2 linked regions of the Rattus norvegicus genome follow. The protein of the gene in region 2 purifies or fractionates together with the protein of the main gene of each other region. This does not show direct contact. Links are inferred from orthologs where the notes say so. Each region holds a gene or a part of one and is shown on either strand. Other genes may lie near its edges.

Region 1 (4,337 bases), about 170 Mb from region 2:
AGGAGATTCCTTTGCCAACAACTGCACTCATGTGCACACACCCAATGCACATACCCACACATGCATACACATAATCTTTTTGTAGATCTTGAGGAAGAAAAATTTTACCTGTCTGGAAATATGGCTCCAAAGATAAGACCACCTGCTCTTGTAGAGGACCACAGTTTTTTGGTTTTTTTTTTTTTTTTTGGTTTTTTTTTTGTTGTTGTTGTTGTTTTTGGTTCTTTTTTTTCGGAGCTGGGGACCGAACCCAGGGCCTTGCGCTTCCTAGGCAAGCGCTCTACCACTGAGCTAAATCCCCAACCCCAGGACCACAGTTTTATTCCCAGTTCCCACTGGCATTTCACAGTGTCTGTAACTTCAGTTCCAGGATCTAACATCTTCTTCTGGATGCCCTGGGTACCAGGCACACAAGTGGTACAAAGACATACTTGGAAACACACACACACACACACACACACACACACACACACACACACACACACACAGAGCAGGGGGGTAAGGGAGGGAGAAAGAGACAGAGAGAAGGGGGAGTGAGAGAGAGAGAGAATAAAAAACAAGTCTTTTAAAAAGTCTTTAAAATTCGGTCCCCAGCTCCAAAAATAGAACCAAAAAAAAAAAAAAAAAATCTTTAAAAGGGGCTGGAGAGATGGCTCAGTGGTTAAGAGCACCGACTGCTCTTCCTAGAGGTCCTGAGTTCAATTCCCAGCAACCACATGGTGGCTCACAACCATCTGTAATGGGATCCTGTGCCTTCTTCTGGTGTGTCTAAAGACAGCTACAGGGTACTCAAACAAAATAAAACAAATCTTTTAAAAAATGCTTCAAAAACTAGCCTATGTAAACGAGTTTGGTGTCCTCTTGTGCATTGTGTAAGGCTGTTATAGTCACCCATGGGGCAGCGGCCATACCCTATCTACCTGCCACCAATTGCGGTGTCATGTATTCTATGCTGTAGGTAAAGAGGAGGAATGTCTTCCTCTCCCTGTAGGACAAGGATGGATCAATTGCTTCCAATCATTGGAATCCACTGGGGTAGGACGCTGAAATGGGTTACAAAGCCTGGATTCTCCTCCTCTCTAGAAGCCTGCACTTTTTCTCATCAACCTTTTTCAAATTGTGTGAAGACTGGAACCTTAAACAGCGTAACTAAGTGACCACGCACAAACTGTAGGGTTTTTGCTCTGAGTGGACCCGCCTCCTCCGCGTCTGCTATTTCACTTTGGCGCCATCTGGCGCCCATTAAGCAAACAACGTCACATTAGGCTTCTGTTCTGTCTCTTTCCCAGATTGATTTCGTACCTTTCCCTTTAAGAGTTTCGCCTGGGCGAAAGAACTCGAGGGCACCGAAAATACACTTGAAACTCCCTTCAGATTGGTCTAGGCCGGAGAAGAGGCGGTGCGTAGCAAAAATCCGTCTATATGATTGGGTCCCCCTCCGGCTCCGCCCCGGGGACGCAACAGAGAAACCGTGATTGGTCGGAACCCTAGAGGCGGCTCTGAACGTGGCGCGGAGTTTGCTCCCGCGCGGCTGGGACTGGTGGGCGGAATGTCCCAAGCTGGTACCGGTGTGTGCGGTAATGGGGGGCAAGAAGACTCTGCTGCTGCCGGCCCGTTCAGCTTCAGCCCAGAGCCCACGCTTGAGGACATGTAAGCAGTCCTTGTCCAGCCTCGGTTGGAGATACTGACCTTTTTGTTGTAGTGGGGAGGGTCCCTCCACGTGGTCCACAAGAAGAACAACATACCCATGTCCACCCAGGCCCTCCTGGCAGTTCTTTGGAGAGCCCAGCCAAACCTTATGTGTACAGTGCGCACTTGAAGCCAGGGAAATTGGGTGACGCCCCTGGGCATGTTAGTACCAATTTTTAGTACAACCTTGGAGAGGTTACAGAGGTCGGATAGTACCTCTGCACCCTAGGAGTGATGGGCAGTTGAACAGGGGAAGCTGAAGCATAGAAATGTTTTATTTTTTTTTTTTCCTTGCAGAATGTCAAGGAAGGCCTCAGTGGGCAATGTCTCAAAATTACATCCTGTGATTTAGTTAGACCTAGGTGTGCGGGAATAGGGGCGTTAAGGTTGAGTACCAGAAGAACTAGCAGTAAAAAAAAAAATGGAATAATAAAGGGTGTTGTTGCTAAATTTGACTTGAGGGTAAAATCTGTACAGGGGCACGTTTATTTCCTGACAATAAGAAAGTCTTATTAAAAGGTAGAAACTTGGGGCTGGAGAGATGGCTCAGTGGTTAAGAGCACTGGTTGCTCTTCCAGAGGTCCTGAGTTCATTTCCCAGCACCCACATGGTGGCTCACAACCATCTGCAATGGGATCCGATGTCCTCTCCTGGTGTGTCTGAAGACAGCTACAGTGCACTCACATAAAATACATAAATCTTTAAAAAAAAAAAAAAGGTAGTAACTTAAGGACATCCAAGAAATCGACTGTTAAAATTCCTAGGCCTGTGTCCTTATAGGTGTATGCTGGGTACCTGCATCTTGTCCTCTAACCCTGAGACTTGAACCTCCACTCCTTTATTTCAGCCGACGCCTCCATGCAGAGTTTGCTGCTGAGCGGGACTGGGAACAGTTCCACCAGCCTCGGAACCTGCTCCTAGCCTTGGTGGGAGAAGTGGGCGAGCTGGCAGAACTCTTGTGAGTAGATGGGAGGCTTCCTGGAAGAGGCTGTTTTGGGGGTGGAGAGAGAATGTATTTGAGCCTCAAAAACTGGGGTTTGTTTTATTTTCCTTACAGCTGTATTCTGTGCTGCTGCTGAAGTCACAAGGGCCACAGTCCCTGTAGGGTGCCAGGAAGTTTCCAGGGAGAGAATGAAAGTGTAGAACAGTGAGGTAGACTGAGGTCTAAGAACAGTCAGCAGGGCTGTAGTGGTGCAGCATGAGTCAGGCAGGCAGTGGATATGTAAGTTTGAGGCCAGCCTGCTCTACAGCGGATTTCAAGATGCTGGGGCTATGCAGAGAAACCCTGTCTCAAAGGAAAAAGAGTGAGTGTGTGTGTGTTGGGGGTGGCAGACAGTTGTCACAAGCATTTTACCTCTGTGTAGAGCTGAAATAAGGAATTTTAAAAGGTAGCCTGCCAGACAGGGAACTTCCTTTGCAGAGGCAGTGGGGCTGCTGAGATTTCTCAGGGCTTAAGAGCACTTCCTGCCCTTGCAGAAGTGCGAGTTCAGTTCCCAGCACCCCTGTGCCAGGTTACAACCTCCTATAACTCCAGTTTCACGGGATCCCACACTCTCTTCTGGCCGTGGAGGCTCTGCATATACATAGTGCCCATACAAACAGGCACTTACATCTATCTGCAGAATAAATAAATCTGTCCTTTAAAAAGTAGTAGTGAGATGAGAAAGGGCAAGTTAGATTCTGGGAGAATCTAATTCAAAATTAGCTTTCCCAAGAAAAGGGGGGGTTTTGTATCTGTTTTTGTTCTCTTTGTGGCCCAAGTATCTAGCCCACTGTAGGCCTTACATAGAAGTGGGAACTGTGGAAGATAGGGTGTGAGGCAAGCCCAGGCGGATAAGATTGGAGTTAGAAGGTGTTGGAGTTCAGGCAGAAGGCCTGGTCTAACCTCAGTAGCAGAAAGATTTCTGTGCCTGCAGGGCAGATTGGACACCTGAAAATTGGATTAGAGCAGGCTAGTGAGCAGGCTGGTGTGGACCTAACTCTGGGCAGCCATTGTGGGATGAAGTCTAGAGGGCATATAAAATGCACTTGAGGGTGGGCCATTCCTTTTGTACAGATGAGTTAGCATCAGTTGTGAGCTAGGTTATCTATAACAAAGGCTGGGAGGCCGTGGACCACACAGCCTCCACTCCTGGTAGAAGAAGAGTAAGAACACAGTTTTAAGTGATCTGGAACTCTGACAAGGGCTAAGGGAAAATCAAGTCAGATGTGGTGGTGTGTGATGTAACCCCAGGGCTTGAGAGGCAGAGGCTGAGGGCTGGGGAGGTAGGTGGTCGTCCTCGGCCACAGGGAGACTGAAACCTGAGGTACACAGGAGTCAGTCTCGGGAAGGGGATAATTACATAAGCAGATGAGAGAGAAAGGGTTTCTGAGATGATAAGCTCTGAATTGAGACCGAAGTATCAAGAAAGGGAAATCTAGGAGGATGGGGGGTGGTGTTCATAGTAGAAGGAACAGTGACCACAAACAGAAGAGGTAATGGTGGCTTTGGGTGGGAGAGCAAGTGGGTAGAGAGGAGTTAACAGGAAGGTGAATTCCTGCACTGACTCAGGTCCGGGGTTTAGTATGGAGTGACAGCAGCTAGCACTAGTGAAAAGTAGAACTGAACCTCGGAGTGTCTCAGCAAGTGTTCTCTTGGTCACTCTGTG
Region 2 (3,563 bases):
AGAAAGCACCAGGGAGTTGGGGCTCGCAAAGGCAAGAGAAGAGTGCTGTGGCTTCTACCTGGAATAGATCAGGGACAACCTTGTGGTTACCTCATAAGACAAATTTAAAGCATTTATGATTAACACCAGAATTATTTTAAGATTTTGAGGTCTTTGCTAAGCTGTGTTCAAAAACCAAAGCTCTTGAATAATTTGGGAGTATTTTAGCTTTAGGTTAAAATGACTCCTGCCTGGTTTCCACAATGAAAGCTAGTTGATGAAAAATTATTTATCTTTCCCTAAAAAAAAAATCTAAGTAATTGAAGTTCAACTTTCTTTCAGTGAACTGTAATCCTTGGGCAACTGTCCAGAGTCAACACGCAGAGTTGCTAAGCATAAATATAAAAAGAAGTTAGATTTGGAAGACCCTCAAACCTAACTTCAAATACAGAGTACATGGTCCAATAAGTTTGATATACTGTTGTCCTCTGGAGTAAAAAATGAATTTTGGGGCAAGTCATATATAAATTAATCATGTGAGTTAATACTTGAAATGTCATGGGGAGCTTTTTGTAAAAAAATTACAATAAGGAAATATTTAAGAAATAGCTTCTGGTGGTTAGAAGAACTCAAAAATTCTCCCTCGCCATTGCCATTTTGGAGTTTTTTGTAAGAATATTGTGTTAAGGGACAGATGGAAGCTATTTACATGAGGAAAGCTTTTGGAAGTTCAGGAGAGTGATGATCTGCAGGTATTTATTTCTATCTAAATGCCTCCCAAGAATATCACCATGTCTGAGCTAGAAAAGTTTCTATGAGGCTAAAAGCACTGGCTGTTCTTCCAGAGGACCTAGGTCCAAATCCTAGTACCCATACGGCTGCTCACAACGGTCTGTAAGTCCAGTCCCATGGGAAACAGCCGTCTTCTGGATTCGGTGGGACCAGATACACACATGGTACACAAATATGTGATGGCAAAACATCTGTACACATTAACATTTATTTAAAGAATGCTACCATGTCTAAAGAGCGGATACTTAGGTCATGTAGAGTACCTTAAGTGTCTCCATATTCTGGGGATAGTAGGGCTTCCTGCTTAAATGCTAACTGCTTAGTCAGTGTAAAGGCCAAGGCAGCAGCTTGATAAACTTGCACATGAGAGGGTTTTGGAGGTGCAATGCCTCCTTTTGCTGCAGAGAAGCCTGCATCCCTCTCAACTGTGAGATACCAAGGTAGCTCAGGCAGCCTCATCTCCTGTCCCTCCTCTTCTCTCTGTACTGAGAGCAGCCATACTTTCCCACAAGCCTCGCCATCTAGGGTATTAATTTATGTCACTATAACTTTGTGTTAGAAATTTGAAGTGATGGAGAAACTCTGCCAATTACTATCATTACCTAGACTCCTACAATGTGATTAAGAAGCAATTCTGTGGCTTTTAGTTAGAGGTTTCTTATTGGTGCATACTCATTGAATGTGATAACAAACTGCATGAGGATATTCTTTTTCCTTCCTTCCTTCTTTCCTTCCTTCCTTTCTTCTTCCTTCCTTCCATCCTCCTACTTCTTTCTTTCTTTCTTTCTTTCATCTTCATTTTTACAGAGTTTCTCTGTGTACCCCTGGCCGTCCTGGAACTTTGTCTGTAGACCAGGCTGGCAAATCTCAATGAATCACCTGCCTCTGCCTCCCAAGTCCTGGGATTGAAGGTGTGTGCCCACCACTGCCCGACTATACAGTGCCCAGAGAAGGCAGAAAAGGGCATGCTCAGCCTCATCAGGAGTGCTGGGATCTAAACCTGGGTCCTCCAGAAGCGTAGCAAATGCTGTGAAAAGCCGAGCCACCCCTCCATCCCAAGTACATTTTGAAATCACATATGAACACTTTCCTGACTACGCTCACCACTTAGTTTCTGTTTTATTATTTCTTTGGTTCATATTTGTTTATTTACTTGAGGAAGGACACAGTCCACATCACGGGCCTGTGGAGGTGAGAGGACAGGCCACAGGAGTCCTTTCTCTCCATCCACCATGTGGGCTCCTGGCTTCAAGGTCAGGTCCTCAGGCTCAGCTGCTCTCTCCCTGCTGCTGAGGCATCCCCTCGCCCTCCAATTCTGAATCCATTGAAATAGGATCGACATGTTCTAGACTAGGCTGAAGGCTCGACATTTGGTGCTTGATTACAGTCCCTTCCAGGTCTATTATAACAAATTTGAAGTGGAGACTCTTTCTTAATATGGCATAGTTCCATACCTACTAATTTTAAATTGATCTTTGAATGATAAGTGCTATTTATAGCATCAAGATCTGGAGGTATACAAGTGAGATAATCCAAAGAAGAAACTGGAAAATGTTAACTCAGCAGTAAAACACTTGCAGAAACGTGCAGACCTGGCTTCAATCCCCTGCAAGTCAAAATCTCTCTCTCTCTCTCTCTCTCTCTCTCTCTCTCTCTCTCTCTCTCTCTCTCTCTCTCTCTCTCTCTCTCTCATTGATTTATTGTGACTTATAATCATGTGTAACCTGTGAACTTAATCCTCTGGGATCTAGTCATCCTTAAATCTCATCAGCAAATTTTGTCTTAAATCATGTAACATTTCACGGGAACCCTGCAGATCATTTAAACGCAGAACAAGCTTTTTGGAACCTCTAAGGGCCCGATTTCTATGTGGAAGCCACTATTTGCTTTAAGCAAATTCGAACTTGAAATCAGATCCACTATGGACAATCTTAACAAATTTATTTTCCTTGGAGGTTGTATTGCTTTTGGTATGTAAATCTTCACGACTTTACTTGTATTTGTTGACATTTTCAAAACTCTAAAGCCCGACGAAAGAAGGTGTCAGCCTCTATGGCCGCTAGCTTTGTTCTGTATCAGAAAACCAGGACTTTAAGTAAAATGACACTTTCATACTAGCAAGGAGCAGGAAGTCTTGGAAAGCTCAGAAGACACCATGTTCTGAGGTCAAGACCCCTTCACTTCCACCAAGCAAATAATAAATAACAGTGACCACTTGAGATGCTCGGACCCCAGGCACATTGCGGATTTCCAGATTAGCAAGGGCACTGATCTCAAAGATTCGCGGGTTCTTCTTAGCAATGATATTAAGATTAAACTTATTTTTCAAAGCACCCCGAGTTTCCAGACTGCTTTGTGGATTTAGATCTCAGAGAAGTGGTACCATTTCCCTTTTATGCGTAAGAAAACAGGCGTCAGAGGGAGGGCAGAATGGACCCATGCTGCCACCTCGTGGCCGTAGCCTGCCGCTGTGGGATGATGGGAAACCTGAAGGTGGTAGCCAAGTTTGGTAATGTCTGCTGTTGCCTTTTCCCAGGAGTGTGATCAAGTTCATATAGATGATGTTTCCTCCGATGACAATGGTCAGGACTTAAGGTAAGCCGCGCTTTCAGTCTTCCGTTTCCTACAGAAATTCAGCTGTGGAGTTTTGTACATGTAATTATTTCTTCTGTTTCTTTTTAATGTATTCTGGGTGTTGCAGTACCTACAGTTTTGCAACTGATGGCTTCCATGCAACTGCAAGTAGTGCGAACCTTTGTTTGCCAACAGGTGTGAGAGGAGGGGTGGACTGG

What was found.
Region 1: the proteins of Eya4 (region 2) and Dctpp1 purify together in Homo sapiens (affinity purification with mass spectrometry; 3 studies listed by BioGRID and IntAct, with this or other methods). This does not show direct contact. The link is inferred for Rattus norvegicus from reciprocal best matches to the Homo sapiens genes EYA4 and DCTPP1.

The regions. Positions count from the first base shown.
Region 1 is NC_086019.1:191,308,486-191,312,822, reverse strand, and holds the start of Dctpp1 (dCTP pyrophosphatase 1), read left to right. Parts: upstream 1-1,496; 5' UTR 1,497-1,549; coding exon 1,550-1,650; intron 1,651-2,536; coding exon 2,537-2,647; intron 2,648-4,337. UniProt on the Homo sapiens protein: Hydrolyzes deoxynucleoside triphosphates (dNTPs) to the corresponding nucleoside monophosphates. Has a strong preference for dCTP and its analogs including 5-iodo-dCTP and 5-methyl-dCTP for which it may even have a higher efficiency.
Region 2 is NC_086019.1:24,218,369-24,221,931, forward strand, and holds part of Eya4 (eyes absent homolog 4), read left to right. Parts: intron 1-3,307; coding exon 3,308-3,366; intron 3,367-3,472; coding exon 3,473-3,563. UniProt on the Homo sapiens protein: Tyrosine phosphatase that specifically dephosphorylates 'Tyr-142' of histone H2AX (H2AXY142ph). 'Tyr-142' phosphorylation of histone H2AX plays a central role in DNA repair and acts as a mark that distinguishes between apoptotic and repair responses to genotoxic stress.